Linked DNA regions of Arabidopsis thaliana. The protein of the gene in region 1 interacts with the protein of each later gene in a pairwise test. Each region holds a gene or a part of one and is shown in the gene's direction. Other genes may lie near its edges.

What was found.
Region 2: the proteins of GHR1 (region 1) and EMB3135 interact in a protein complementation assay, tested with the Arabidopsis thaliana proteins (one large-scale study listed by BioGRID).
Region 3: the proteins of GHR1 (region 1) and ALF5 interact in a protein complementation assay, tested with the Arabidopsis thaliana proteins (one large-scale study listed by BioGRID).

The regions. Positions count from the first base shown.
Region 1 is NC_003075.7:11,197,046-11,207,836, forward strand, and holds GHR1 (Leucine-rich receptor-like protein kinase family protein), read left to right. Parts: upstream 1-5,682; coding exon 5,683-6,682; intron 6,683-6,793; coding exon 6,794-8,320; intron 8,321-8,406; coding exon 8,407-8,993; 3' UTR 8,994-9,235; downstream 9,236-10,791. Other genes in the region: AT4G20920 (double-stranded RNA-binding domain (DsRBD)-containing protein), read right to left, coding at 1-35, 127-225, 317-532; AT4G20930 (6-phosphogluconate dehydrogenase family protein), read right to left, coding at 1,582-1,669, 1,833-1,912, 2,020-2,104, 2,207-2,349, 2,481-2,576, 2,708-2,790, 2,920-3,070, 3,257-3,371 and 2 more; AT4G20947 (putative RNA-binding protein), read left to right, coding at 10,664-10,791. UniProt on the Arabidopsis thaliana protein: Receptor kinase acting as an early component in abscisic acid (ABA) signaling.
Region 2 is NC_003076.8:3,826,108-3,836,898, forward strand, and holds EMB3135 (harpin-induced protein), read left to right. Parts: upstream 1-5,392; 5' UTR 5,393-5,662; coding exon 5,663-6,526; 3' UTR 6,527-7,044; downstream 7,045-10,791. Other genes in the region: AT5G11870 (Alkaline phytoceramidase (aPHC)), read left to right, coding at 52-172, 546-667, 771-892, 971-1,130, 1,229-1,256; AT5G11880 (Pyridoxal-dependent decarboxylase family protein), read right to left, coding at 1,699-1,779, 1,877-1,966, 2,041-2,163, 2,260-2,445, 2,537-2,698, 2,810-2,959, 3,054-3,228, 3,333-3,835; AT5G11900 (Translation initiation factor SUI1 family protein), read left to right, coding at 8,047-8,194, 8,526-8,624, 8,893-8,951, 9,159-9,240, 9,334-9,401, 9,689-9,772, 9,860-9,916; AT5G11910 (alpha/beta-Hydrolases superfamily protein), read right to left, coding at 10,453-10,711.
Region 3 is NC_003074.8:8,451,195-8,461,985, reverse strand, and holds ALF5 (MATE efflux family protein), read left to right. Parts: upstream 1-5,277; 5' UTR 5,278-5,397; coding exon 5,398-5,679; intron 5,680-5,963; coding exon 5,964-6,508; intron 6,509-6,667; coding exon 6,668-6,754; intron 6,755-6,854; coding exon 6,855-6,911; intron 6,912-7,009; coding exon 7,010-7,248; coding exon of another isoform or gene 7,249-7,289; exon of another isoform or gene 7,290-7,322; coding exon 7,323-7,441; intron 7,442-7,520; coding exon 7,521-7,625; 3' UTR 7,626-8,083; downstream 8,084-10,791. Other genes in the region: RNR2A (ribonucleotide reductase 2A), read right to left, coding at 70-186, 270-335, 449-575, 889-937, 1,091-1,251, 1,569-1,725; AT3G23570 (alpha/beta-Hydrolases superfamily protein), read left to right, coding at 2,378-2,525, 2,619-2,640, 2,816-2,942, 3,166-3,256, 3,379-3,468, 3,557-3,657, 3,794-3,934.

The DNA.
Region 1 (10,791 bases):
AGGTGACCTCCTAGAGGATGATCAACTGAAAGAAACTGCAATGGCAACAACTTAAACGTTAATGCCAATAGAGAGAAAAACCAAATTAACTTTTGGACTATGGACTTGCTTATGACCTGTACTAACCTCATCAGAAAATATATACTTAATGCGTTCAACGATATTATTCCAAGCTTCATCCACAGTTATATCAACATCATCATCATCCTGAGACTGAATTCCTAGCTGCAACATGAATAGTATTGTACTTTTTCACATAAACAGTGTTAAGAAGTCTACTAAACAATAAGAGCAGAGAGATGTGTCAAAAGTATACCTTCTCGAGAGCCAATTCAGCAGCAGATTGTTCGGAATCCTTTTTTCTCTTGAAGACATTTGATACAACAGAAAATTCTGGTAGCTGCAAGTGGCAACGATAGAGGCAATCATTCGAAGAAACATGAACTTCCTCAATTCTGTAAATTGCTTTAACACCAAACTTCTGAAGTATCATCTCCTTTGGAGTAAGAGTCTGCTTCTCCTCACCCGCCATTACAAACTCACTGAGGCTTCTTTCTACACTGAGACAAACAAAAGAACTATCTATGATTCATATAGATACTTCAAAGATCATGAAAGATGGTAACTTCAGTGCAAACTGTACGGCTGCTCACTGCACAGAACCCCAAAAAACTAGGGTTTTTGAAAGAGATACAAGATGATGACCTAAATTCGGAGACTTCAGGTTTTAAGACAGACAACAGTAAGATGAAACAGAGGAACATGAGTCAAAAGCAACGATTTTTCGCGCGAATGAAGCAGAAAAACAGGTAGAGGTTGAAGTAACATTACGAGGAACGAATTGTCATAAACAGAAATGATGGTGTGATGAAGTCGAATTTCAGAAAGAACCCATAAGTAACGAAGCGAAACACAAGAAGAAGGATCAAAGACGTACCTTTGAGTGTTGAGGGAAACTAGTTTGAGCAACAGAGAGAATGAAAAAAGTTGGGAGATTTCAAATGTAGCGGTGTGCTGAAGAAAGCGAGGGTGGTTGTAGTCATTTCACATTGTAGATATTAACACAAACAACTGTTTCCGTAATTGTACCGGAGATTCTGCAAAAATGGTTTGGTTCTCTCATTGGTGACGAAGGTGAATCTTCATTAACTTTAGGTAAATAGCCAAGAATGATTAATAATCAAATTAAATACGAATATAGATAAGGAAAATGGTATATTTACGGATTGGTTAGCGAGTAACACTGTTAAGAAATGTAATTACACCATAGGTGACTATTGTTTGAATTGTTGTTGACTTTTTTCCGGGTAAAAGAAAAGTTTAGAACTTTGACTCTGAGCTTTGTTTAATCCTCTCTATAGGATCCTTCATGCTTTATTCTTCGCTGACCTCATAACTAATTGATTGGTGATTCCAAGAGTAATGTTCAACACCAGAGAGATGTTCTCAAACTAATTACAATTCACATCGCTTATTAACATCACAGCCTTTCCAAGACTTTTATTATTCTTAGCAATGAAAATCAACAATCTAAATGCACAAAGAAACCGGTTATTTTGCAGGGTCGTTGTTAAGATTGTCTCAGACCTCATCTTTCCCATTGTAAAAGTGTCTGAAAACACAAGAGAAGTCCTTCGTTTCATGTCCTTCCTCGCACATCTTCTTGTAACTGCAAAAACAAAAAAACAAAATCTTCAGCTTGATGTGTGTGCTTTTTGCTTCATAAGAAATTTCTACGTTGTTTCCATAAAGTTTCATTCACAAGCCTTCTTTGTTCACAACAACTCATAAGGAATAGAGCTTCTAGGAGAAAAGACTACTGAAGTACTCACATTTCTTGTGCTTTGGATATCAATGGGCTTTTGTGTCCAACTTCTTCAGCTGAGGCTGCTGCGAGGTTTAGGTCTTTAGCCTGCATTTCCAATACACTATATACATGAAAGACTTGTGTAACAAAAGAAATGTGCTTTAGAGACATTTTACAGGATCAATGATATAGAGATTTCTTAAGAAACTGACCATAAGTTTGGAGGCGAAACCGCCATTGTAATCCCTTGAAGATGGCACACCTTTCATCACTCCTGGAACTGGATTGTATGCGTCACTGCGGTTATCATAATATAAGGAAAGGAAGTTAAGAATTTGGTGTGCTTGCTCTTGATGAGAAGACGATTATAAATTTGAAGAGGTCATTTCATTTACTTACCTGCTCCAACAACGGCCACTAGATGTGTTTAAGACTTCTGTTAAAGTACTGGCAGATATTCCAAGTGACTGACCAAGAGCTAAGGCTTCTGAAGTGCCGAGCATACTCACGGCCATTGCCAGATTGTTACAAATCTTTGCGGCCTAAGTTTAAAACAAAACATGTCGTTTCTCAGTCTATTATCCTTAAGAATTGTAGAGACAAATATACCAAAGATCAAGATAATAGAGATACTGTAACAGAGTTACGGAAACATGGTATAAAGCGAACTTACAGATCCATTTCCTGAACCACCACAGTAGATGGAGGTTCTGCCCATTGACTGAAGTATTGGTCTAGCGGCTAAGTAAGCATCTTCGGGACCTCCAACCTACAGAACGTGCAGTTGTATCAATGCCATTGTGCTCTTGTAGGTATACAAGCACACATAATCTTCAAACTTGATGTTATATAAAGGATGTGATTCAAATAATGTAGAAGATAAGAGAGTCGTCAACATACCATGAAAGTAAGTGTACCAGCTTCTGCAGCAAGAACACCTCCAGAGACGGGAGCATCCAACATGACTGGCTTTTCCCAATTATCTACATCAAAGATGCTTGAAACTAGTGAAAATGAAACAATCTCGACTTGTTCACAAGAAGAACAAAATGAAGCTGTTGTTAACTCATAAGAAGAAACTAACTTCCTTCCAAATCCTATCTAAGCTTTACCTCTCTTTTCTTTCAAATTACAATTAGAAACAGCAAGTGAGATTTTTCGAGTTGTTTGTGGATCAATAGTGGATGAATCTATAAACAAAGCAGGTCTTATATCATTTTCTCCAAGAAGCAACCCATTTGTTCCTGTGTACACATCCATCACCTACATCAATCACAATTTTTTTTCCTTCATAAAAATCATCCAATCAATTGAAGATTAACATTCTTTCAGTACCAGGAGTAAACAACAATACTATCTCGTAGACTAGGTGCAGCTAATCATACAGCTAACAGGACGATCTTTCAAACTGTTTTCATATAAAACTATTGCTAAAGGTAAATAACTTACATGAGATGATGAAGGCAACATTGTAATCACAACTTCGCTATCTTGTGCAACTTCATAAGGAGTTTCTCTAGAAGAGACTCCCATTTCAGTGAACATTTTCATAACATCACGGTTTCTGAAAATTCAAACACAAGTATATGCACAAGAAAGTTAATCAAAGGAATCAACATTAACCAAATATGAAAATTGATAGGCAGCAAAACGCACTCAAAGTACATTACATGTCATGAACGGTAACTTTATATCCAGCTCTAATTAGATTATTCACCATTCTGAATCCCATATTTCCAAGTCCTATGAAACCAACATTCTGACAAAACAGCAAAAATGAGACTTCATTTACATAAATTTTGGGTACTGAATCAGACAAATTTTGCTGTTAAAAATCTAATCCAGACAACTTTTTTTGCAGAACTGATGAATTTAGATAAGTGGTCAAGATCAATAAGCAATTTGGCCACTAAAATTCTTATTAACTATGCTCGAGATTACAAAAGTTAAGATCTTTTATTCCAACTACCTTAAGGATCATGTTTTAGAACGTTTCAATAAAATTCTAGGTGACTTATGAGGAAAAGAGATTATGTTTTCTGATCATGAAGACAATTTAAAAAGCAGAACCTGGAATTGATTTGAATTTTGAGACGAAGAAGAGAACCGGTGGAGCGACCCAGACACGAAATTGGTTTTGAATTTAGAAAGACAAAGTAGAGTTTGCGCTCTGCGAATCGCCATTGATGAATTTCTTCAAACTCAGAGCAAGTTAACAATTAGCAAATGAGAGTGAGTTTTAGACGTAAGTGTGTAATCTCATCAAAACACTCAGATTTTTGTTTTTTGAATTATGACCCCTTAACTATTAATTTATTCTGAACCCGGACATTTACTTTCAACATTATCAGTAGAACCCAAATAATTGGTCTGATGCCCTTGTCTCTTCCGGTCTTCCCTAGTCAACGTAGTCAGCATGTGGGACCCATTTTCCTACGCGGTATTTATTTCGCTTCTACATTTTCCTACTAATTAATGTGGTATCAACTTCAAAAATATTTATTTGTCCGAATATTCATTACTATTTTTTCTGGATTGTTCAAAAAATCATGTTTCATTTACTACACATTTTCCTTGCAAGCTTTTAATATCTGTATTTTGGTGTAAATAACATTCACTCCGAACTCTCATTACTCTTTTTATTTTCCCTATTATTTATTTATGTAAATTCATTTATTGCAAGTTTCTACCAAAATTTATTAGAACACTGCGCAATTTTCGCTTATTTTCCCAATGCTGTAAATCTCTCTCACTAAAGGCAAGGACATAGACTCATAACCATATTGGATAAACCCTTTCACGTCCACCATGGTCACACTCACTAAAAACATTAGTGTAAGTAGCTTTTTTCATTTTTTTTGGATTCCTTTCCCGGGCCATTCCAGGCGGGTAATTAAACTATATTTTAAATCTTTCCTCACTGAAAAGACTATGAAAAAGTAAATTAATATATAATTTTCTTCTCGTGAACCCATGAAAATAATTTCTTGCTATTTTACTTTTTATTTAGGGTTTTTGATTTGGTGTCCGTTCACACGCTTCAAGACTTACCCTTTTACAAGGTCCTTGTCGTTCGTCACTGTCGAACGTGAAAACTAGCAAAACATTTTCTCTATCTTTAATTTTGTTTTGGCTTCTTTCTTTTGTTCTTAAACAGTGACAATCTTTTAAGGGTTTTTAATTTTTAAAGTGACCCACAAAGATTTCCCTCAGTTAGCTCAGTGACTCAGTCTACAACACTGTTGAGCTTAATCCAAAACCCCGTGCAGTTCATGAGCTAATGAACAAAATGATTCTGCTTTAAAGTTTTTGTCTTCCTTCTTCTTCAACTCTGTCGACATTGTTCTTGCAGTGAGAAGCTTTTTTCATCCCCGTAAGTTTAAAAATCCTCACTTTTCATTTATCTCTTTGCTTTGGAGTTAGGTTAGATCTCGGAATGGGACCCAAATATTGAATAGCCCATTTGTTCATTTAATGTTTTTTTCAGCTGATTCCCTTTGAGTGAAGATTGTCTCTTCTCACTCAGTAGCATTACTGCATTTTGTTTGATTGGGGTTTCTCAGAAGATTTGTTCATCTTAGGTAAAGTTTCTTTCTTTAGCTTCTGTTTTTTTTTTTATCAGAGTGAAATTTCTGGTATTGTTGATTTTTGCAGAAAGATTTAAACTTTTTTTTGGTAACATTGATGGGTTTTGTCTTATTTCATTATGTTTTATGTCAGATTTACTTGGGGTTCCATGAATTTTCTGCGTTGGTGAGCTGGAAAAGTTGTTGGGATTCTTCAAAAACTGTAGCTTTTTGGGGGAAAAGATTTGAAGTCAAGGAAGGATGAATCTTTCTAGGATTTTGTTACTCTCCATGTTTTTTCTATCTGCAATGGGGCAACTTCCATCACAGGACATCATGGCATTGCTTGAATTCAAGAAAGGCATCAAACATGACCCTACAGGGTTTGTCCTTAATTCATGGAACGATGAGTCTATTGACTTCAATGGTTGTCCTTCTTCATGGAATGGTATTGTCTGCAATGGCGGTAATGTGGCTGGTGTTGTTTTGGATAATTTGGGTTTGACTGCTGATGCTGATTTCAGTCTGTTCTCCAACTTGACAAAGCTTGTCAAGCTATCTATGTCAAACAATTCCCTTTCTGGTGTGTTGCCAAATGATTTAGGCAGTTTCAAAAGCCTCCAGTTCCTGGATTTATCAGATAATCTGTTCTCTTCTTCATTGCCTAAAGAGATTGGTAGATCAGTAAGCTTGAGGAATCTTTCTTTATCTGGTAACAACTTTTCTGGTGAGATTCCAGAGTCTATGGGTGGTTTGATTTCACTTCAGTCGTTGGATATGAGTAGCAACTCCTTATCTGGACCTTTGCCAAAGTCCTTGACAAGGCTGAACGATCTGCTGTACTTGAATCTGTCTTCTAATGGATTCACGGGGAAAATGCCAAGGGGCTTTGAGTTGATTTCAAGTCTTGAAGTGCTTGATTTGCATGGTAATTCAATTGATGGTAATCTTGATGGGGAGTTTTTCCTTTTAACGAATGCGAGCTATGTCGATATCAGTGGAAACAGATTGGTGACGACGTCTGGGAAACTGTTACCTGGTGTTTCTGAGAGTATCAAGCACTTGAATCTCAGCCATAATCAGCTTGAAGGTTCATTGACTAGTGGGTTTCAGTTGTTTCAGAACTTAAAAGTCTTGGATCTTAGCTACAACATGTTATCTGGAGAATTACCAGGTTTCAATTATGTCTATGATCTTGAAGTTCTCAAGCTTAGCAACAACAGATTCTCAGGTTCCCTTCCCAATAATTTGTTAAAAGGTGACTCTTTGCTTTTAACAACGCTGGATTTAAGTGGCAACAATCTCTCAGGTATGCTCTTGGCTTTATCTTCTACATAGTGGAAATTGTTATATGTTAACGGTGGCACCAAGAAAACTAGAAATCTAATATTTTTTTATTGGTTTTCCTTTTGTGTTTCAGGGCCAGTAAGTTCTATCATGTCAACTACTCTTCACACCCTTGATCTTTCTTCAAATTCACTGACCGGGGAGCTTCCTCTCTTGACTGGGGGATGTGTTTTACTCGATCTCTCAAACAACCAGTTTGAAGGAAATCTGACAAGATGGTCAAAATGGGAGAATATAGAGTACCTTGATCTAAGCCAGAACCATTTCACTGGGTCGTTCCCAGACGCAACTCCCCAGCTTCTGCGAGCAAATCATCTTAATCTTTCCTACAATAAGCTCACAGGCTCACTTCCAGAACGGATTCCAACTCACTATCCGAAGCTTCGGGTACTTGATATAAGTTCTAACAGCTTAGAAGGGCCAATTCCAGGTGCGTTACTATCCATGCCCACTTTGGAGGAAATCCACCTTCAAAACAATGGCATGACAGGTAACATCGGACCCCTGCCTTCTTCTGGTTCCAGAATCCGTCTTCTTGATCTTTCTCACAACCGGTTTGACGGGGATCTTCCTGGTGTATTCGGGTCTTTAACCAATCTTCAAGTGCTGAATCTCGCAGCAAATAATTTGTCTGGCTCTTTGCCTAGCTCCATGAATGACATTGTCTCTCTAAGCTCATTAGACGTATCCCAGAATCATTTCACTGGACCACTCCCAAGCAACTTATCTAGCAACATTATGGCCTTCAACGTGTCATATAATGATCTATCAGGGACTGTGCCAGAGAATCTGAAGAACTTCCCTCCGCCTTCCTTTTATCCTGGAAACAGCAAGCTCGTCTTGCCTGCTGGGTCCCCTGGATCAAGTGCATCAGAAGCTTCCAAGAATAAATCCACGAACAAACTTGTTAAGGTTGTCATAATAGTTTCTTGCGCTGTTGCTCTAATTATTCTCATCCTTGTGGCTATCCTCCTTTTCTGCATCTGCAAATCAAGAAGGCGCGAAGAACGTAGTATTACTGGTAAAGAAACTAATAGGCGGGCTCAAACTATCCCCTCAGGCAGCGGAGGTGGTATGGTTGTCTCTGCTGAGGATCTGGTTGCTTCAAGAAAAGGCTCATCATCCGAAATCCTCAGTCCAGATGAAAAACTAGCTGTTGCAACCGGCTTCTCTCCTTCTAAGACCAGCAATTTGTCTTGGTCACCTGGCTCAGGAGATTCATTCCCAGCTGATCAGCAACTAGCACGGCTTGATGTGAGGTCACCAGATAGACTTGTGGGAGAGCTGCATTTTCTGGATGATTCAATTAAGTTGACTCCAGAGGAATTATCAAGGGCACCAGCTGAAGTTCTGGGAAGAAGTAGCCACGGCACTTCTTACAGGGCAACGCTGGATAATGGAGTGTTTCTAACAGTGAAATGGCTAAGAGAAGGAGTGGCAAAGCAGAGAAAGGAGTTTGCTAAAGAGGTGAAGAAATTTTCTAACATTAGACATCCTAATGTTGTGACTCTCCGAGGGTACTATTGGGGTCCAACGCAACACGAGAAGCTTATTCTTTCAGATTATATATCGCCTGGAAGCCTTGCCAGCTTCCTTTACGGTAATGCTCCTTTCAATAAACTTCTCTAAGTATTATATGTATGTGCAGTATTTTTCATCAAGCTTACGGTTCTTGTTTGATGACAGATCGACCGGGCAGGAAAGGCCCTCCCTTAGCCTGGACCCAACGGTTGAAAATCGCAGTTGATGTGGCACGTGGTCTAAACTACCTCCATTTCGACAGAGCTGTTCCACACGGTAACCTCAAGGCAACAAACATTCTCTTAGATGGAGCAGAGCTAAACGCGCGTGTGGCAGATTACTGCCTCCACCGTCTCATGACACAAGCAGGCACAGTCGAACAGATTCTAGACGCAGGAATCCTCGGTTACCGAGCTCCCGAGCTAGCAGCTTCAAGAAAACCATTACCTTCTTTCAAATCAGATGTATATGCGTTTGGTGTGATACTTCTTGAGATCCTAACCGGAAGATGTGCAGGAGATGTAATCACAGGTGAGCAAGAAGGTGTTGATCTAACCGATTGGGTTAGGTTACGTGTTGCAGAAGGGCGTGGTGCAGAATGCTTTGATTCGGTATTGACTCAGGAGATGGGAAGTGATCCGGTAACAGAAAAAGGCATGAAAGAAGTTCTTGGGATTGCTTTGAGGTGTATAAGATCAGTTTCTGAGAGACCTGGTATTAAGACCATTTACGAAGATCTTTCTTCTATTTAGGAACAATGTTTTTTTTTTTTTTTATGTTTTGTAGGTTCCAATAGAGTTTGGTTCCTCTGAATGTGTTCTCCTTTGTCAAGTTCATGTTCTGTTTCGGGAGAAACATGTTCTTGATTCAAGGTACTAGTGTGTTGTGTCTTCTGTTAGTTTACTTTACATTTTCCCTGTAAAAAAACGAAATCTGCTCATGTCTCATGAGTGAATGAAATTTCATTTTTTCCCATTTATATTCTCTCTTCTTGGAAGTTGCTAAATTGTGTTTCATGTTCCGGTTAGACTTAACCGAGTCTTTGAATTAGGAATCTTAACTTAGATGTTACGTTTTGTATTATATATGATCTTTCTCCAGACCCTAATCCTAGAAACCCTAATCCCAAAGTCCGAATGGAAAGACCAATACATCTCCCGGAGGCTATATTGACGGAGATTCTAGCGAGATTGTCTTTGAGAAGCATCTATAGATGCAAATCGGTAAGCAAAACATGGAAATCGTCAATCAAAACATGGAACTGTTGATGCACGAATCACACAAGTACGAAAATGGGATCTCTAGGGAAGGAAGAAGAATCTTTCTATTAATGACGAGCCCGCGACTTAGGCGAATTGGACGGATTACAAAGGATGATTTCTTCAACAAGCATAAATGGAAAAAGAACGAGCCGATTGTAGATGAAAGACGAGCTTGAGGCCGGAAAACGATCTTGATATCCGAGGAAGAATAGAGTTTATTCGTTTTATAGCTGAACCTTGGAACTTATTTTGGGGTTTTGACTTGGGTTTGGGCATTGGGCCAAGTAGGCCCAATCCGACCCCTAACAGTTGCCCCCCAATCCTGATGCATCGTTGATGACGTGGATCAGGATTTCAGGCGCTCGAAACTCAATCGAAGGAAGTAAAAAGTCGCGCATGGGGAAGACGCAATGTTTGGTTTGTCTTTCAATTTTCTCAAGGTTCGGAGATCGAAGCGTCGCATGGCTTTCAAAGTATAGGCTGCTATCACGACGATGTGCTGTCTCGGTGATAGTCAAGCGAGACGACAAGGAAGGTTAAAAGGGGCCGCCTCGAGTGTTGCGTGACCGTCACATTTCTGAAGAGCCTCCTGGATCAAAGTGGTCGTCTGGTGTTCAAGTTGGGATGTTCGAGTCATTCGAAAGTGGTTCTTTGAGGGGGAGAGGGAAGAGACGAGGGTCGTTAATCGTGATGAACAACGAGCGAGTGTTCCGAACTCGTCCGATGCGTTTTGCGTGCCAATGATCATTATTGGAGTTATCGTTTCGTTTGAAGGAGGCGTTCCTTTTGCTTTTAACTCGTGTTTGTGCTGAGCTCGCTGTTTGAGAGGCAAGACTGCTCAAGCGTTGGCCGATCTAGACAAAATCTTGAGCCGAGGTTGAAAAGATGAGTGGAAAGTATAATAATTTAGTTGAACGTGCTTTTTCAGGGAGAAAAGAGCTTTGGGAGCGTCGGTTGGAGTATGACAACTTCGTTCAAAGGTCGGCGGTTGATAAGATGGCGGAGCTCATCGAGAAGCGATTGGATCGGATCAAGACCTATATTGACGATACGAAGGTGGCGGAGCCAAAGTTTTTCAATTCAATCAAGTGTATGGAAACATCAAGACTCTCGAGGCGTCGATCGAAGGCGGCGAGGTGGAGATAAAGTCGGATGAGACGATGTCGAGATTAGAAGCGGATGTTGAGGAGTTGAAGGACGAGGTGAAAACCTTCAATATTCATCATCTCATGGTCGGAGAATTTGGCGTTTATACTATATTTACCGAGCTCAGGTCTGAACTTTGTTA
Region 2 (10,791 bases), on another chromosome or scaffold:
TTTTGAGTTTTATTTTGAGTTAGTTTAACAATTTGAGTTGTTGTAATGCAGTTTAAATGGTGAGATCTGGGGATGGACACTGTTCTACGCAGGCATTGCAAGCTTGGCTTTTGGTTCTGCTTTTTATCATCTCAAACCTGATGACAACAGAATCGTCTGGGACACTTTGCCTGTTCGTTTTTCTCACTTTACTTTTCTTCGGAACATGAATCTTCTTTCAGTTATGCATTCATTGCTTCTTGATTAGTGATGCGGTAATTGTATATATTGACAAGCACATTGTGAATACAAAAAGTTGAAGAATCATCTTATAGCTATGTAAAAAAGCTTAGATTAGACTTCATGGTTTTTCTTGGATTGGTTGGTTCTACAAGCACATAGTGAAGTGAACACAACTCTTATAGCTAATGGAAAGAAGCTTTAGAGATTTTTCGGGTGTAGAGTTGTGGTTTTTGGTTTTATTGAATGGAAAGTTGTTTTTGCTCATCATTTTTGATGGTTGGTTTATGAATAGCTGTTTGTTGATTAATGACGGTAAATTGCAGATATTGATTGCGTATTCGTCGCTTTTCTCTAGTTTTTTGGTTGAGAGAGCGGGGGAGAAAGTGGGACTTAGTTGCCTCATCTTGCTTCTATTTATATCATGTCTCAGTGTTGCTTACGCCAGGTAACATTAAAACCAAGAAAGCATTACCTCCTCTGTATACATATATGTTCATGGTTTTAGTCAGGTTTCGGATTGAAATTATATGTGTCTTAGTTGATGGCAGAGTGTTTAATGATCTCCGGTTATGCATGACGTTCCAGTTGATACCGTGTCTGGTGATTCCCGTCATGGCGGTTTTGTTACCTCCCAAATATACACACTCTAGATTCTGGCTCTGGGCAACAGGTTTTTAACTCAAAACCACATTTGCGGTTTTCTTATTAGAATCCACGGTCTTCTGATATCTGCTTATCATGAATGCAGCGGCGTACACTATTGCCAAGATTGAAGGACTTGCAGACAACAAAATATACAATGCAAATCGATATATCATCAGTGGGCATTCACTGGAGCATTTGTGTTCTGCCGTGGCTACGCTTTTACTTACCATTATGCTTTTGTATAGAAGCATTCGGTTTAATAGGTAACGTTTTTTCACTGACTCTTTCTCTTTGATCTTTGAGTTCCTTGAAACCTGAGAGGATTTTTCACTTTTCTTTTGTATGATGGAAACTAAAACAGATTAGGTGATCTCAAAGGCCGTCCTTGACATTCATTACTGACTCCTCAAGTTTTTTTTCTCTTGTATTTAGATGCTTCTGGATTCTTGTATTACAAATTTTGTTTGGTTGCTAGATAGATTTTGACCCATGATCCCACTAAAACATCGTTAGCTTGGTGTAATCTTGGTTTCTGGTTCTGAAACAGCTTTGGCTTTAAGGTTACTTATTCAAGTCTTATATATGTGTTTGGACAATGGACAATTTTACATGTAGTAACTAAAAAGAAACCAAAAGAATAATCATAACTCACAAATACACCTTTTATTTTCGGTCTTGACTTGTGACCTGTTTCTTATTCATATGATCACTTTATTGAGGACTTTAAATCATAGCACAGAATGTGGAAAAATCCAAGACAGCAATAGCATTATAGAAACGTAATCATACAATTCATCTAAAATAGCAACAATGATGAGTAAATCTCGGAGTTCATAGTCCTTCAAAGAAACGTAAATGGTCATCGAATGTCTCAGCATGCCTGATCTTAGTGATCGACCCATCTTCTTCAACCTGCAAAAAGAAGAATATAAATCAATCACTTTCTCTCAGGATCTTGACCCTCCGCTAAATTTCCGCAGAAAACGATAATAAGAAACAGTATTGTTACCCAGTATTCCGGGGGACGCATCTTGAGATTGTAAGTGGAAGCCATACTCATACAGTATGCACCAGCGTCATGAACCACCAGACCAGCTCCCTGTAACGTATACAAGAAACTAATTAGATTCCATATTACTTGAGCTGCCAAACATAATCAGATCCTTATAATACCTGTGGAGGAGTGGGAAGCTCTCTGTCTTTGCCCAAGAAATCAGCAGATTCACAAACAGGACCCACTACATCGAATTTGGTAACCTCTGCTTCAGGCGGTGTAGGAGAGACCAACTCAATATGCTTTTGCGTTAAAAAACAAAAACAAGAGGATGTTTAGCTATAGTTCAAAGGGACTAGAATCTGCAGATGCTGTTGTGAAAAGTATATTTGTTTTACCTGATAGGCATCATAAAGACTGGGACGGATAAGCTCAGCCATACTTCCATCAATCACTATGAAGTTTTTAGTTCCATTCGTCTTCACACCAGTTACATGGTTGACGAAACAACATGTGTTTGCAATCAGTGATCTCCCTGGCTCGATTATTAGATTCAGGTCTCGTGAAAGAACCAGCTCTCTTACCTATGAAACACATCCAGGATTCTAAAGATTCTACCATTCCAGTACTTTTGAGATCAAGATAAAGAAAAGAGTTTTGAGCTGTTGTTCTTACGGTGTTGATAAGATCCATGGGTGTAGGAAGGACAGCGCCGGCATGATAATAATCTATCCCTAAACCACCACCAATGTTCAAGTAGCTAACCTCAAAGCCTTGACGCCGGATTTCATCAATGTATTCAATCATGAGAACCGCAGCATCTCTGAATATATCCACCTGAAATAAACAGAACATACGTGAATATGCAAAGCTCAAGACTCAAGAGTTAAAATTTAAGAGATTGATTACATTAAAACACAAATTAAAAGGAACTATAGTCGGAGTTACCTTTGTAATGGTAGAACCAAGATGACAATGAGCTCCAACAAGCTTCAGCTCTTTGGGATGTGCCTTCACTTCATCCAGAAACCATTGAAGCTTCTCGTTCCTAATACCAAACTTCGAGTTCTTGTTCCCAGTAGCTACATATGGATGCACCTAAAATGGTAACAAACAGAAAAAGCTCATTCATATCCAAGCTAAAGAATAGATTCTAGGACATGCTGCTAAAAGATTGAAAATTTAACCATACCTGAGGATCAACATCAGGATTGATACGCAACAACACATTGACCTGCTTACCAGAAATTCTTGAAGCTTCCACAATGTTATTCAAGTCAAACTCACTATCAACATTTACGAAAACACCTTCTTGAGCAGCTAGAACTAAATCTTCCAAAGACTTTCCATTTCCATTGAAAATACACCTATTCATTTCATCCACACCGAAGACATGGTCAAAAACTACACATCAACATGAGACCAAATAAAAAAATATTCAAACTTTATTATTGGGGATAAAGAATCGTACTTTGTGGGATCGAAACCAGCAAGAAGAGCAAGCCTGAGCTCATTTCCACTAACCAACACAGCACCACAGCCCAAACTCCTCAAATGCTCCAAAATCTTGAGATTGTTATTAGCTTTAATAGCGTAACCAATAACAGATCTCACTCCTTCCAAAGCCTCTTTATAAGCCTCAAGGTTTCTCGTGATCTGAGGTTTGCTATATAAGTAAAAGGGTCGTTTCTCGACTGTTTCCATGATATCTTGAACCTTGGTTCCTTCGCAATAGAGAAACCCATCTGATGATTTCTTGAAACAGTGGTCGAAAGAGGAAGCAGATTCTTTCGTGAGGGTTTTGGTGGAGTTTTGGGAAACGGCGGCTTTGACGGAGAGGCGTTTAAGTGGCTTCAATGTTGACTTGAGAGACAAAAATGGGATTCTTGAGAGTGAAGTCTGATTCAATTGGTACTGATTTAGGGTTCCGCGGATTGATGAAGGTTGGGAGAGAAATTGAGTAACTGCCGCCATGGCTGGAGGATTTTTGTTAGGTGTGCGACTGTTACAGTAACACTGAAGGGTTTAGAAAAAAAAAGTCAACAAGTTTAAGAGTAGTTCCTGTCGGGTCCGGTTTTAGATATCCGACAATATCGAACCGGTGGTTATAGTCGAACCGATGGTTAAAAGAAGAAAGAACAAAGTCGATTTTAACTTCTTTTGGATATGGTTTTTGTCCTTGGGGGATAGTTTCTGCTAGTGTTTGTTTTGTTCGGTTGTGTTAGTTGTGTGTTGTAATAATCTTGATGCTTAAGGGGTCACCTAAAGCAGTCATGGAAATCTAGCCCTATCTATAAAAATTTGCCATTTCTCATCACCTACCAATACTTCTATTTGTTCGTATTATGCGGATATTCAGAGGATAATGTAAAACATTTTGTTGAATGCTAACGATGAAGTGCTCTATCTAGCCGTGCACGTTGTGGAGAAGTTATGTTTTAGAATCCACATTTGTTGAAGTTATGCTTATCATACTCTCTTAATTATCTATATCTATTACAAAGAGCAAGGAATGTTCTTAGTTAGGATTTGTTTTGTTTGGCAACCATTGCTTCTGGTTATTTGTGCTCTGCCTCCTTTGTAAGTTAGGATTTGTTTTATTCTTACAACTTTGCTTCTCTCGTCATACTATATAATCTCTGACTATGTATGTAATTGCATTCATGTCGATGGTTGTGGGATGTATATTTAGGTGTTTGACTGTAAGACGTTAAAAACAAACTTTACCATAAGTTATTGGGATGTCTAGACACTTTTATGGTTTGGTGAAGTAGGCTCAATGTTTTGCCCTTTATGTTTCCATTGTTGATGTTTATGTACCTTGCTGGTTGGAACCACTTGTGGATGTTTCCGACAATGCTTCTCTGTAATGCAGTTATCTTTTAATGAAATGTGATCGATCTTGAGTGTTATTTATTTTTATTTTTTTAAAGACTTTATGGTGTGGACACTTGACCGGGTGATAATTGGTAACTATACTACATAGTTAGAGAGCTCTTGAATTATTAATCACGCTAAATCTTGGGAATTGAGAGCTCGGAAGCAAAGGTTATTAACAAAATTCAAAGCAGAGCAGCATTGCCGATGAAATAATTATTGACTTGGGATTTACTCTCTGAAGTCTGAACCAAATCGAGATTATTCTAATTATATTTTTAATTTCGGATCCCTAATCTATTAATACTCCAATATCTGCACTCATTTAATTATTTCCTCTTTTTTTAACCTGCACTGACTTAAATTCAAACTTATTTCAATTGCGTGCACACTTTAGTGAACTACTACCACTATCACTATATGTGTCGGTGGATTATTATTTCCGTCATTTTGATATTTAATTACATCTTTAATTGTTACTCTTTTTTGCCCATTCTTCTTCTTCATTTGATTACATTATACTCTATTGTGAATTACTAAATTCTGAAAACAAGAAAAATTTGAGTACACAGGACACATCTTAGTATTACTCGTTACTAAAATACTACACGTGTAAATAATTTTTTCAGAAATAAATGGGGCCACTTTGTAAGTAATAAATCAGCTTACATTAATTATTTTACCACCCAATAAAAAGATTCCACAGACTTGGCATGGAAGTCATGAACATTCACAAAAATCTAAGAAAAACTGAAAACCGAAAAAAAAACAAATTATTAAAAAGCAATAAATAAATAAACTCAGAAAAAAAAGCTATTAAGATTCCACAAAAACTCTGTATTGTCTCTTTCTCTCTCACTATCTCTCTCTCTTTTGTGAGCTCAGATCTGACCAGAGAGAAAGAAACAACCGGAGAAGAAGAAGATGACTGACCGAGTCTTCCCAGCTTCCAAACCACCAACCGCCACTAATGGAGCTCCACCAGTTGGTTCCATACCACCTCCTCCAGCTCCGGCGACTGTAACCAGCAACGGAACAACAAACGGAATGGCTAATCAGAAACCTCAAGTCTACATTCCAGCTAACCGTCCGGTTTACCGTCCACAGCCTTACAGTCGCCGTCATCACCACCAATCTCGACCAAGCTGCCGACGAATTTGCTGTTGTTGCTGTTTCTGGTCGATTCTGATAATTCTGATCTTAGCTCTCATGACTGCAATCGCCGCCACCGCGATGTACGTGATCTACCACCCTCGTCCGCCGTCGTTCTCCGTCCCGTCAATAAGAATCAGCCGCGTGAACCTAACAACCTCCTCTGATTCCTCCGTCTCTCATCTCTCTTCCTTCTTCAACTTCACTCTAATCTCAGAGAATCCAAACCAACACCTCTCTTTCTCTTACGATCCTTTCACCGTCACCGTTAATTCAGCTAAATCCGGTACGATGCTCGGTAACGGAACTGTTCCTGCTTTCTTCAGCGATAACGGTAACAAAACTTCGTTTCACGGCGTGATCGCTACGTCTACAGCGGCGCGTGAGTTAGATCCGGATGAAGCTAAGCATCTGAGATCAGATCTGACGCGCGCGCGTGTAGGATATGAGATCGAGATGAGAACTAAAGTGAAGATGATAATGGGGAAGCTGAAGAGTGAAGGAGTAGAGATCAAAGTGACATGTGAAGGATTTGAAGGAACTATACCAAAAGGTAAAACTCCAATTGTAGCTACTTCTAAAAAAACTAAGTGTAAGTCTGATCTTAGTGTCAAGGTCTGGAAATGGAGTTTCTAGAGGGAATTTTGATAATTTCACAATTGAAATTTTCTATATAATCTTCTTCTTTTTTTCTTCTGGATTTTGTGAAACTTTTGGAATGATCCAAAAGGAGATTTCTTCAGTTGTTAGTTAAAAAATTTCAGAGAAGAGTCAGAGAGATAAGGTATTGTCAAGTAGAAGAAGGCCAGAGAATTCACGGCTTCTAAAAAAATTTCTTGGATTTTTGTTTTGTTTGGAACTTTCTTACTTGAATTTATATTTAATGGATACAGAAATATAAATGTAATACTTGTAACGAATGGAGTACTAAAAAGCTGGAGATTGCAGTGACTGCGTGATAGTGAGCATTAAAGTGAGATCGTAGTAGTAATAAACAGAACCTTAAAAATGGAAAAGATGCGTGGGGTTTGTGAGGAGAACAATGAAGAACACGAGAGATGTGTTAAATGTTAGATGTTGAACCATCTATCGCATTATACAACACCATTTAAGAGAAACGTGAATCGTCTTTAGTACTCTATAAAGCAAGCATATATTCTAGCAGTTGCATGTTATAAAATTAATACAGATCGATCACTCAATTCATGAATATGGTTTGATATAAACATTAAATTAAATGTCATGCTGTCATAAAAGATGAATTATATGGTTCATTTATCTAAGAAACTTTTTATTAACTAAGTAAGTAAAAGTTTGAAGAGGTCATTTGCAAGTGACTCCGACCAGGGATAGACTCCTGAAATCTTATCCAACTATGGACGACGACTTCATGTCGGTGTGTCCAAAAATGAGGAAAAGGAATCTGCCCAAGGGACAAATGGCATTACCCGAAACGGCAAAGAAGAACCGCAGGAAAAAAAGTTGACAATAACGTATGAGGTGTGACTGAAAAAGAAAAACTTGTAGTTTGGTTTATGACGTAAATGAATAATTTGGAAATGACAATAAGTCATCATATCTAATTTAGTGCATGACCTCCAACGTCGGCATATATTTGAGTCGGTGACCGGATATCCAGTACAAAGTAAAGTACAAACCAAAAAGAAAGACAAGACAATAAAATGGGTAAAGAAGACTTGCATACACGGACGTGATAGAAGAAGACATGCATAGTATAATTCTGACTTTCTGAGACCTTTAATGAAAATATTTGGCAATGTATTTCAAGAATAACTATGGCATATCTCTTAGATTTTGTGAAAATAGCCCATAATCGAAGAAGATGATAGTAAAAAACCGAGGCCCAAATAGAACCCATTTACCCAAAATATCAAAAAGATTAGTCGTTTGGCAATGAAATTAGAAGCCCAACACATGTCCTAAGCCTTTTTCACTTTTCTTCACTGTTTGGTTTTCCGACATCATTAACTTCGCGGGGGCAAGCGACTAACAGAAGAAAAAAAGCGACTAACAGAAGAAAAAAACGAAAAGGATTATTCCGCCGTAGAATCCATATTCTCTCCCTCATCACTTTGATAAACAAGAGTCTCATTTTTCGCTTTTCCAAAGGGAACAACTTCTTCGGATTATTATCTATGGCAGAGAAGCTTGAGCCGGTGAAGGTTTTGTACTGCGGAGTTTGCTCTCTTCCAGCGGAATACTGCGAATTCGGTCCCGATTTCGCTAGATGTAAGCCCTGGCTCGTCGAAAACGCCCCAGATCTCTATCCTGATCTCCTCAAAGGTACCTTCAAACCCTAATCTTATAATTTTCGACCGTTCTTCAGAACTCGTTTGATTTTAGGTTTGTAGTGCCTCAAATTTTTTATTCTTCCAAGGGCTAAGCGATTCACACAATCGAAAAGATGAAGATTTTTGTTTTAACTTGAATTATAAATTTATGGGTCTGTTCAATTTGGTGATTATGTTATGTTGGATTGTCAATGCTGTTGTGTAGAGTTTTACGATTTTTTGGTACCCTTTACACTTCTGTTTTACTGGTTATGACAATGAGTTTAATTTGATTTAAGACTTACTAATATTTGAGTTTGCATACGAATTTTAAATTTGTCCAGAAGCAAATGAGAAGGCAGCAGATAATGTTTCTGACAAACTCCAGTCGGTGGGAATCTCTTCAGGTGGTGCTGATGGGGCACCATCTTCAGCTCAGACTGGTAAGGAACCGTGTCTATGTGTGTGCTTTTTCTTGTTCATACTATTGCATACACGTATTTGGTACTGTACATCGCTATGAAAAATTCCAAACTGAATGGCTGGAAACATCTTTAATGTATTTGTTTTTCTGGGGAATCTGCAATCGAACTGTTAAGCATGAACGATAAATATTGCTAGAGTCACTGATTGGTGATGATGCCTATGTTGAAAGGATTTGGCTTTTAGTTGAATTTCTACTCAGTAATCAAAGGATCTTCCAATATATAGGAGGGACATCCAAGAAGGAGGAAGTGAAGCGCCTACCTGGGGGGAAAGTTAAAAAGAAAGTAAGTAATATCGTGTAAATTTCGTCCCACCTTACTGGAATGTCTTAATGCATTACCAAGTTTCCATGGAAACGTACAAAACAACATGCTTGGACATTCCCTGACTCACATATCTACGTTTTGCTTTCTGGTTTCCATTCCTTCGTCTTTGACGTGGACATGTTTGTCCGGTTGTCTAATTTTCTAATGTTTATGGATGCTATATAGGATCGACAGGAAGTTATCATTGAAAAGGTTGTACGCAACAAACGCAAGTGTATCACCATTGTGAAAGGACTAGAACTGTTTGGTGAGTTATTTACTTCTTTGGTGATATATCTTAGTATTCTTATTGCCTGGAACAAACCTCATTCATTTTTAACCCTTGCAATTTGTTCGTCAGGGATAAAACTCAGTGATGCCTCTAAAAAGCTTGGTAAGAAGTTTGCCACTGGAGCATCAGTTGTCAAGGTATGTATGTAGAGGATGAATCAAAAAGCAAATATGTATACGAGATAGTTTTATGCTTAGACAGATTAGTGGTATTCGGTTTTGTTCTAGCTGATATTGTTGAGCAGAGCTCATGGTTCTTTAGAGTTTGTAACTGCTTTAGACCTGTTGTGGCTCTAATTTCAAAATTTGGTGTCCAGAGAAAAGTATGAAATATTCGTCCCTAGATACATGACTTTTAACCCCTTAGTTTGTTTTACCTCTCTCTTCCTCTTATGCTGAGATTTTTCTAATTTATTGTGTTTCAGGGACCAACTGAAAAGGAGCAAATTGATGTTCAAGGGGATATAATCTATGATATCGTTGAATTCATTACAGACACTTGGCCCGACGTAACATGACTTCTCCTTTTCTAATTTGTTCTTGGTTCTCACTGCATTCGTTTGAAAACTTATGATTGTTACTTTGCCAATTTCTAGGTACCTGAAAGATCCATTTTCTTCATCGAAGATGGGAAGAAGGTTCAGGCTGGTTGATGATCACCTTTGTCCTCGTTTTTTGGCATGGCGGGTTCATGTAGACGAGCTAGTTCCTGAGTTTTCCTATGTGTTTGGAGGAAATCGCATCTTGATTATAACTTTCAACGTAACGTATAGTTGGATTTATCATACTATTTTCTTATTCGGGTTGCGATAGTTCCAGACATGTTTCTCCAAACATTTCTCTTTTTGGGGGTCTTAATATTTAAAATGTGTCTTGAAATGAACGCGTTCTTCATCCTTGACCCATCATCAGCTTTGTAAGACCAAATATACTCTCATTGGCCAAACCGGTGATGATCTCTCTTGTCAGCCAATAGTTTAGGACAGCCAGATTCGAAAACTGATCCTAAACAAAGCCTAAGAAAACAAGTGAAACTTTTATGATCGATTTTGTGTTGAGATATTTAAATAGACTGTATACTACCAACAAGATTTTATCCATAAGAACATTTTGGTTTCTAACTGTGTTTATCAAACCGTTTATTATCACCCCCGAGACCGTGAGACATTAAGTAACTCAGCAAAGCGATTTAAATTCGCGATGTAATAGGAACAACTGATCTCATGGAGTCTTGGTTACTTGTACTGATATCACCTGACTCATCATCTTTCTTAGGATCCAATTTAAAGAATGAGAGAACGATTGAAGCAAGCTGATGCTGGTGAGAAGTGAACTCATGATCAGCTCCTTCAATAACATACAGCTTATGATTCTTTATCTGTTTAGCAAATTCGGACGCTTCTGTTACATGCACAATCCTATCATTTGACCCATGGACTGTCAAGACCCTGAAATTTTAAGAGAAGCATTAGTTCCTCTATTAGAATGAAACCAAAAGAGAAAAATCCTTATAGAGTATGATGATAGA
Region 3 (10,791 bases), on another chromosome or scaffold:
TGAATGGATAATAGAGATGGCTCAATAAACACAGTATGGCTTGCTGTTACCATACAGACCTATTCTTACCTGTACAAGAGACACGCAAAGTCACAGTGGAGCCCCTCGTCTCTCGATATAAGCTCGTTTGAGAAGGTCAAACCCGGCATAAGACCCCTCTTCTTTAGCCAGAAGATGGCACAGAAGCTGACCAAACCACATGAAATTCTTATACACCAGAGCTTATATAGGATAAGTTCTCAATGCCTATGATTTCAAAGACGTCATACCTTCCTGAGAAGAAGATTCCTTCGACACATGCAAAAGCGACCAGCCTCACAGCAAACGACATAGGACTGCAGAGAATGGTTGGTTTACAGACAGATAACAAATTAGGATTATCTTTTACAATTAATCACATGAAATTGTTTCTTCAACCAGAAAATTAAACACAACAACAATTAGTTACCTTTGAATCCAATCTAAACACCATTTTGCCTTCTTGGATATACAAGGAATGGTCTCGATAGCATTGAACAATCTATCCTTCTCCTTCGAGTCCTTTATGAATGTCTCCAGAAGTAAGCTGTACATCTCTGATATTTGTCATAAGAAAATATGTCATAAATCAGTTTCTTACAAGATAATGACCCAGGTCATATTCCTATCTAAGGATATTCCGTTAAATCTTTAAACAACCAAACCCTATCAAACTCCTCTAGGGTACTGGTTACAAGTCTTATACCTTGGTCTACAGATATTTATGTTCATTCACCATGACCAAAGTTAAACTTTTTTGTTTTCTTCTTCTCACTATGACTACATGGAAGGTAAACAGCAACATATTATCCATTAAGAGGATCGTTTTCATCTTTCCCTAATGAATATTTCCACTAGCAAAAGCCTTACCTGAATGAATGTTCTCCATGGCTATTTGAAACCCATAGAAAGCACGAGCCTGAAACATCCAGAGAATTGACTATCTCAAATCAAACAGCAAGTGTCGACTTCAAGATATTACATTGCCACAGCATATCAAGTCAGACAACAGTACTAAAAAATCATTTAAAGCCACAGTTTTTTCAATATTCCGCAAAGTGAAAATCCTCACCTCTGGAACTTGGACATCATTCAAGAATCTAGCAGCCAAATTCTCCAAAACAATACCATCTGACGCTGCGAAAAACGCCAGAATATGGCTGATAAAGTGTTTCTCTGAATCCGTCAAGGCCTCCCACTGTTGCACATCAGTGGAAAGATCAACCTCTTCAGCTACAATTAATTCAAAGAAGTCAAAACACACAATTGATGATAATATAAGACAGAAACAGAACTATCACACACATGAAACATTCTCTGAACCAGAATCAGAATTACAAGTAGAAAAACATCTTCTTTTCCACAAACCACAATCAAAATGGAACATCTATATTACATTAAAATCCTAAACAACGAAAAGAAGAAGCTTTACATTTACAAAGTCACAAACTTTCTTAATCAAAACTGTATCCACCACAACTCCGAGAATAGTTCAAACTCAAGAAGAACAGAGAACATAAGAAAATTTCAAGGAAAGAAAGAGGACTAACCAGTCCAGAAACTGGCTTCAGCCTTCTTATACATCTCCCAAATAGATTTGTACCTAATGGGGAACATAGTGAATCTCTGGTTCTGAGCCATCAAAAGCGGCTCTTCTGATTCACCTTCTTCCATGTCTCTTCCTTGACCTTCCTTAAGCGAACCCATTATCTCGAATTCGTCTCTTAATTTTGAGGTTTTTTTTGATGTGGAGAGAAACAGAGGATTAGATAGATAAGGAAAAAGAAAATGAAAACCCTAAACAAAAACCCTTGGAAACCGACAAGGAACCAACAAAAGAAGTGTTTTTGTTTTGTCTGTTTGGGTGGCGCACGCAAAACGATTCCTCGTGATCTTCCGACGTGATTTTCAAGGCAACACCTTGTGGAAGGAAGAAAAAATATCTGACCACATAAATTGTGAATTAAACAAAAAAAAGTTAAAGATAATTAGAGGAAGCCACATAAATAATTTGTCAAAAGAGTTTTTGTTTGTTATGATAAAATTGATAATTGAATTAGAATAATCTTTGATTGTTGGGTTTTGTTTTTTACTCTGCATAAGTGCATAGAATCATTCAATCATTCAAGGTAAGGTATTACCCCATTTAGCAAATTTATTCTAAGAAAAATTAACATTGCAAAAGTTAGTTTTTATTTAACGCACGTGAGTTTTTTTAGGTGGAAGAGTAGATACGCACACGTAGTGTAGATAACTGGTGTGAAAGGTCAAAGGTGGTTTGGTGGCTTTACTTTTTAAAACAGAGGTCCCAAAGCGCGAGAGAGGAGTCGTCTTGTTTTTTGGTTCGGCGAAAACAAGAATGTCAGGTCATCAGTGCACCGAGAACCCGCCTGATCTGGATCCAACTAGCGGGTCGGGTCATGTCGAGAAACTCGGTAACCTTGACACCTACGTCTGTGGTTCCACTCATTCAAAGCTTGCTGTTCTTCTTGTCCCTCATGTTTTCGGTAAAAAAACCTTTTTACCTGTCCCAATTACGTTTGATGTTCTTTCTGAATTTGTTGGTTTGATTTGAGAATCTAAAACGTTTTCTTCTGCAGGATATGAAACTCCAAACCTGAGGTGCTGTAACAGAGAATCCCTACTGAATCAGCTTGTCTTTTGTTGATTGTTAGACAGTCTTTTACTTCAGATTCTTTGTTATAATGAGTTATAGTTTATATCACCTTTTATAGTCACTCGAAAGATGTTTCATTCTTGCTGTAACTTGTCATGGATATTGTTCTTCCCTTGATAGGAAACTTGCTGACAAGGTTGCAGAAGCTGGATTCTACGCGGTGGTTCCTGATTTCTTCCATGGAGATCCTTATAATCCCGAGAACCAGGATCGTCCGTTTCCTATTTGGATGAAAGATCATGAACTAGTTAGTTTCTTTTCCTTATTAAATGTTCAATCCTCAATTTTTCTCAAAAACATAAATGAGTCTTTGTTTCCCAGCATGAAATAGTCCAAGTATCCCAATAATCCCTTATTATTAGTGCCAAAATGCTATCACTACTTATTGTTGATTGCAAAGCTAAGATTAAGTCAGTGTTTTTGTACTGTTCTGTGTCAATGTATCTGAAACCAGACTATGGATTTTGTAGGAGAAAGGGTTTGAGGAGTCAAAGCCAATAGTGGAGGCCTTGAAGAACAAAGGCATAACTAGTATAGGAGCAGCAGGGTTCTGTTGGGGTGGTGAGTTCGGTTTTCTTGTTCCCATCATCACCACAGTTTTATGAAAATGTTTTCCATGATCTGTATAATAAGTCAACCATGTATATTAGTTAACACAAGACTTTTTGTTTCTTATTCTTTAGCAAAAGTTGCGGTGGAACTAGCTAAGGAAAAGCTTGTTGACGCTACTGTTTTGTTACATCCTGCTCGCGTTACGGTGGATGATATCAAGGGTATTTAGATCTTTGATATGGCCACTCCTTACTTGATAGTTCTCTCTCATTTGTTGTGATTATGACTCTCACTATATGATTGAAGCAGAGGTCAACCTTCCAATTGCTGTATTAGGAGCTGAAATCGATCAAGTGTCTCCTCCAGAACTTGTGAGGCAGTTCGAAGATATTTTAGCTTCTAAACCTCAGGTACTTTGCTTAGCTCTATGTCTTTATGCAAGGTAATATTTTCATTACTTACAAAAACACAACTAGTAGTTGATGTGTTTTTGGAAGTAGATATCTTCTTCAAGTAGATAATTGTGAGCAAAGTGATATGTTTCAGGTGAAGAGTTTTGTGAAGATATTCCCAAGATGCAAACACGGTTGGACTGTTAGATACAATGAAAATGATCCATCAGAAGTTGAAGCTGCAATGGAAGCTCACAAGGACATGCTCGCTTGGCTCATCGACTATCTCAAGTGAGAACTTGAAACGGTCTAAGCTTTGGTTTGCACATAACCAGCGGAGACCCAAAATCATGTCTAGTACTCTTTAAATAATAAATGTAACTAGTAGTATCTTCTTTAATTTATGTTGCTTTGTCATGTTTGTGGCTAGTGTTCTCTGTTTCGTTTCAGTCTGAGAAACATCAGTTTGAGTTAAACTTAAGACGTTCTAGAAATATCTTAATGTTCCTTTGGACCTTAAGCCTATTTATGTTGTTGATATTGAAATAAAGACATCCCCAAATTCAGCTATATAAATCTTTCTAAATTGATTTTTCTCTATGACTAATGAATTAGCTCTACTTTAAAATTCATCTGCATTACGATTTTTTTTGTTTTTTGAAAAATCGACCTCTTAGTAAATCATAAAACCTTGACAAAATTAGCAATTCTCAACTAATGTTTAACAGATAGTTGTTAGTTTCACCAGCTTCTGTTTAATTATTAATTTGATGATTAAAAATAATTTTTTTTTCTAAATATGGATTCTTGTATTGATATTTCAGATAATTATCTGTCTTTGTTGGTTCTAGTTGATAAGTAACCATGGTTCAGAAAAAAACAAGAAGATGAGTAACCATGAATCTGACTAGAATTGGATCCTAGTACTGGAGATGAGCTGTAGAATCAGATAAAAATTGTAAACAAACTCTCTTCCAAAAAAACAGAATCAGATCAATGAAATAAACGAGGCATGTTTGTGAGATGGAAACTTCTTCAATCTTATGGCATCAGAGTCCTCGATTTCACGAATCAGATACAAACATAAATATTTGCTCAGAGGGTACCATATCTGAACTCTGAGTTTGAGTATGGAAAACGTTCTTAAATCTAAAAGTTCTCCTATAGATTTGGTAACTAGGTGACGACGTCTTTACGATACTCTCTCTAAATGTGACTATACAACTAATGAAAACTTGTAAAAAAAAAAAAAAACTCAAATACAAATTTTCATTAGTTTTACTTTTGTATTTTAATACCAATCCTATGCATGTCTTGAAACAGGTGAATTGTTGTAATATAGAAATATTTCTTAATTGATGAAGTTTTGTTATTCACAATTTTAACGATAAGTTAAGTCCAATGTTCAAAGTTTCCTGAGGTGGTAATCGGGTGGTCATGACTCATGAGCTGCCTGATTATAGTACATTGCAAATTTAATTGGTTGACTTTTTAAGTCATCATTTTGTTTTAAGATTATTGATTCTGATCCAAAAATAATTAGTCTGAGGATGTAATAAATTGAATCTTTTTTGGCATAATTAAAAAATGTATTTATATTGCATTATAATGTGGCAGTAAATGGCAGAGAGGCCTCTTGTGTTGGTATTTAATATCCTGTTTCTGCGTACATCTCTTATTTAATTCCTCACCTTGCCAAATCACAATTCTCCTCTTCAAGTCTTAACCAAACCCAAAGTCCTTCAACAAGAAAATCCAATGGCTGATCCGGCAACGAGTTCTCCGTTGTTGGATGACCATGTAGGTGGAGAAGATGAAAGAGGAAGGAGATCAAGATCATCAACTTTGGTTCAAAAAGTGATCGACGTGGAAGAAGCAAAAGCTCAAATGATTTACTCTTTGCCAATGATACTCACCAATGTTTTCTACTACTGTATTCCTATAACTTCTGTGATGTTTGCTTCTCACCTCGGTCAACTCGAGCTCGCCGGTGCCACCCTTGCCAATTCTTGGGCCACCGTCTCCGGTTTTGCCTTCATGGTACCATTATTTCCTTATTTCTTTAGCTTTTGTAATTTAAAATCTTGTTTTGATGTCTACTTGCAAAAGTTACTAAAACCCACTTATTTCCATCTCAATAATAGACTCGAACTCGAATTCAAGAATCAAGATTGTTTAAAATGATTTATTCGACATAAATGACTAGTAGATGATTTTAGGAGTTGTCTAAATTTTTATTAACGACATCTTCAAGAACATTTGGCCAACGGTATATATGTATAAGTGCTTGTTTATGACATACATTAATGTCTCTTTGTTTTCAGGTAGGGTTAAGTGGATCACTTGAGACATTATGTGGACAAGGCTTTGGTGCAAAAAGATACAGGATGTTGGGAGTTCATCTACAATCATCTTGCATCGTTTCATTAGTTTTCAGCATCCTCATCACCATCTTCTGGTTCTTCACAGAATCGATTTTTGGACTTCTCAGACAAGATCCTAGCATTTCAAAACAAGCTGCACTCTATATGAAGTACCAAGCTCCCGGTTTACTAGCTTACGGGTTTTTACAAAATATTTTGAGATTTTGCCAAACACAATCGATCATTGCTCCACTAGTCATCTTCTCGTTTGTTCCCTTGGTGATAAACATTGCTACCGCATATGTTCTTGTTTATGTAGCTGGGCTTGGATTCATTGGTGCTCCAATAGCTACATCTATTTCATTGTGGATAGCTTTCCTTTCGCTTGGAACTTATGTGATGTGTTCAGAAAAGTTTAAGGAAACATGGACTGGATTTTCGTTGGAATCATTCCGTTATATCGTAATAAACTTGACATTAAGCCTCCCTTCTGCTGCTATGGTATGGTAAGTATATATGTTTCTTGACCGTTATATCTAGCCTAGTGGTTTATATTAGTCAATGTAATCATACCCGGGGTCAAAACCAAATAGTACATGTTGACAAAAAGAAAAAAAAATATCATTAGGCTTGTTGAAGCTTAAGAGACTATATTGTTGCAACAGTTTGGAATATTGGGCATTCGAGATTCTTGTGTTCTTGGCAGGAGTGATGCCAAACCCGGAAATCAATACTTCTTTGGTCGCTATATGGTAAAAAATATATATTTTTAATATCACTTTTTTGGTAGTTAATGTTTTTTTTATCTATTATATCAAATTTCTCAATGTGTGTTATGTTAAATAAATTCAGCGTCAACACGGAGGCGATTAGCTACATGTTAACATACGGACTTAGTGCAGCTGCAAGGTTTGCTCATTTTACTAGATAGTTTCAAAATACTTTGTATTCCATCTTGCTGAAAAATATTGTTTCGGAAATGTAAAAATCGAAAATAAATATTGCAGTACGCGTGTGTCCAATGAACTTGGAGCAGGAAATGTAAAAGGCGCAAAGAAGGCGACCTCTGTGTCCGTAAAGTTGTCTTTAGTTCTTGCTCTCGGCGTTGTAATTGTTTTACTCGTAGGTCATGATGGTTGGGTTGGGTTATTTAGCGATAGCTATGTGATTAAAGAGGAGTTTGCATCATTGAGGTTTTTTCTTGCTGCCTCTATAACTCTTGATTCAATCCAAGGAGTTTTATCAGGTAAAAGATCCAATATATATTTTTTTTTTTTACTCATCTAGGGTGGTAAAAATCATTGTTAAATTTATTTACAGGAGTTGCAAGAGGATGCGGATGGCAGCGTTTAGTCACGGTTATAAATTTGGCGACATTCTACTTAATTGGAATGCCGATTGCCGCCTTTTGTGGTTTCAAGTTGAAGTTTTATGCCAAGGTATTGCTTGATTCTATAATAAGATTAGTAAATTTTGTTTGATTATGTTATGTTTGATTCATTATTTTGATGGCGACAGGGTTTGTGGATTGGTTTGATATGTGGAATATTTTGCCAATCATCATCTCTTTTGCTTATGACAATATTCCGGAAGTGGACAAAGCTGAATGTTGCTACGGTCTGAAAACTCTAGTTACGTTCCATTTTTCTACGGAGGCACATTTATTTTCTTAAGCAGATATGGAATCAGTTATCAAGATATATATTTGGAACTCATGATCATTTTCCAAACGCTTAGTTAAGATTTATCTTTCTTAGTTTTCTTTTTATTCTTTTGGAGTGTAAGGGAAATAATCTGGTTCACAAAGTTGGTCATGGCTTGAATATTACAGCATCATTCTAAGCTATCTTTGAAACCAACTTCTTCTTAGTTGCGTTCTTCAATTTACTAGACTAGTTTCGTTATCGTCAGCAAGAAACTTTTCTCATTTTCTATTTCTTTAATTCCTCGTCGTTTTACTATTTTTGGCGATTTTTTTGGCATATTGTGCTAAAATCAGAAATTTTGATGCTTTCTATGTAAACTTATTTCTCTTGCTTAGTTACACACGTCTGGTCTGGTGTCTCCATATTATCCTGTTTGCTTTCTGGCAATGAGCTAGCTTAAATATGAGATCTTTGTCCACACGTTTTCTCAAAATAATAGCTTTTCTGGCCATTAATTTTGATAGAATCTATCTCGTCTCTTCGAAATAATGATTTTCTATCTATCTCGATAGGATTGAATCTTCATTTAAACCATCAATTAGTAGAATGCTCAGACAACTTTCTGGCCAGATTAGTCAGACAACGTGTGTTTGGACTCTCCTATCATGTTAAGTTTCATGGGATTCCAACTCAAAACCAATTGGTAATTAATGAATTATCCAATGTCTTTTATATACTACTCAAATCTTCTCTCATCTTTATGATGTGTGATCATTCTCCACAAGATTAAGTTTGATCATACAGTTCATTTAGGCTTTTCCATGTCCTAAAGGAGGTTATGGCCGTTATGAATTTACTTAACACAAATCTAATAAGTTTTCCATTATTTAGCCATGAGGCGATGCTAGGATGATTAGTAAGCCTATTACATAATCTTATTTTCAGATAGAGTTTAACATAATTAGGTGATTGACTTGAATAGAATCTACGAATGCCATCAATTGATTTACTTGACACTGTTTCCATAGAAGTTTAACATAAAACAGTGTCATGAAACTTAAGTAGTTGTTATTTGGTGGGCTAAGGAATAGAATCTAGGATTGTGCTTAATTAAACCTCGTTATGTCACATGGTTCGATCTCATCTATTGTTTTGCTATGTTGAACTTTCGTGATACAAATCTTTCTAATTTTGAACTGAACTTCAATTCCTAATTAAACTCGTTTTTTTGTGTTTCATTTATTCGTTAATGTTAGTCGTCTTTTGTGTTTCATTTATTCGGTCATGTTAGTCTTTCCCTAATATAGTGTAAATTCCTAGTTTAACAATAGTTTCACTATAGCACAATGGTTAAATTCATCTTGATTGATAACTTTCCTAAATTTGAAATCCACAAACCAAATTCATTGCCTATCAAAAGAATTCGTCTCTCATATTCGATCTGTGGCATAAGAAAACTTTTTTAAAAAGAAATATGTAATTATTTGTGTAAAAATATATACAGTGTAAATTCATTGCTTATCAAAAACATCCGTTGTAGTACAAGGGTTTAATTCATCTTGATTGCTGTTTCTCTAGTTTAATCGATTGATCGCTTTCTAGGTTTGAATCCTGGCAGCGGAAACTTTTTTAATTTATCTGTTGTTATTTGTGTAAATATATATACAGTGTAAATTCATTGCTTATCAAAAGATCCGCTGTAACACAAGGATTTAATTTATCTCGATTGTTGTTTCTCCGGTTTAATTGATTGATGGCTTTCCGGATTTGAAAAGTTTCCGGGATCGAATTTCGGCACTAGAAAACTTTTTTTAGTTTTTTTTTGTAATTATGGGTTTCAATAGATAGATATACAATATATAGTTTAAATTCATAATTTATAATTCTCCCCTTACAAAAGATTAAAATTTGGATTACATTTGAGAATAAAGGGGAGAAGCAACATAGCATGTAGCGGAATGGATCAAGCTAAAAGACGTTTAAGGGAGAACACAAGTTTATGAGACTCCTAGATCTCACATCGTTCACCCTGACCCACATCGACCTTGTGATGGTCCCATGCAAGAAAATGGCAAATCACACGTCGATTCTTACATCGGGCAGAGGTAGATCAAAGCGGGAAAGTTGAAGAATCATGCAAGTATCAGATTGGCCTCCACATCGACATAGGCAATGTCATCCCACAAATTTTGAAGTGCCAGCATGGTTTAAACTTGTTTTTGAGGATTTTTAATATAAGTTTGAGTTTTCTCTAATTTGTATAGAGACTCAAGAGCCTTGTTCTACATTTCGTTAATGAAGATGTCATATTTTCATCAAACTAGTGAAGATTTTCTCATCTTGATACATCTCTTCTCTTAAATTATGTTTATGCCTCCATTTACCTTTGCTTTTTTGCTTCTTTAGTTCAGTCTTGTTATCAAAGTTTTGAAGATTAAACTAGCTAGGATTAATAATGAATACATCAATGATGTTGATTATGGGAGAATCTTGCTAGATTCTTTAGTCAAAAGAATTGGAGTTCTTAGACTCTCATAGGAAGGGAAGATCTTCCCCACCATTCCTTACACGCAACGTGAGTTATCTAGAATTTAGCTTCTACCTGCTCTTGAGTCTTAGCAAGTCAAAGATTAGTAGCAGCAGTGCAGCACACTATTAACAATTACATCAACCATCAGCGTCAGAAGACAATTTAACCAGACTAATATTCTCTAAAATGTTAGCCGTTTATTTTGAATTTTTTGATGGCCGGAAACTAACTCTTTACTACTTGATGGTAGTAGGGTTGGCTTACTTGGTGGGAGCTACAATGGTTCCGCAGCCGGCCCCAACTCTTGAACTCTAGGAGTTTTTTTTGTTCTTCCATTATATTGTTTTCTTTCTTTTTTTTCGAAAAAAACTCTTCCATTATAATGTCGGTTTTTTTTTTATTTGGATAATGGCACAACCATATCATTACTGTAAACCAATCCGGTAAAAAAAAAATAGAATTTAAACAATTATAAATAAAATTTGGTAATGGTAGGATCAGCCATTATGGTCATCTTTGGACGTGGGATCAGCCATTGTAATGTCTATAGGGCGGCCTAAAGAAAAATCCTCCCAAAACCTCTAAATAATATTGAGCCGGCAGAAGGACCACC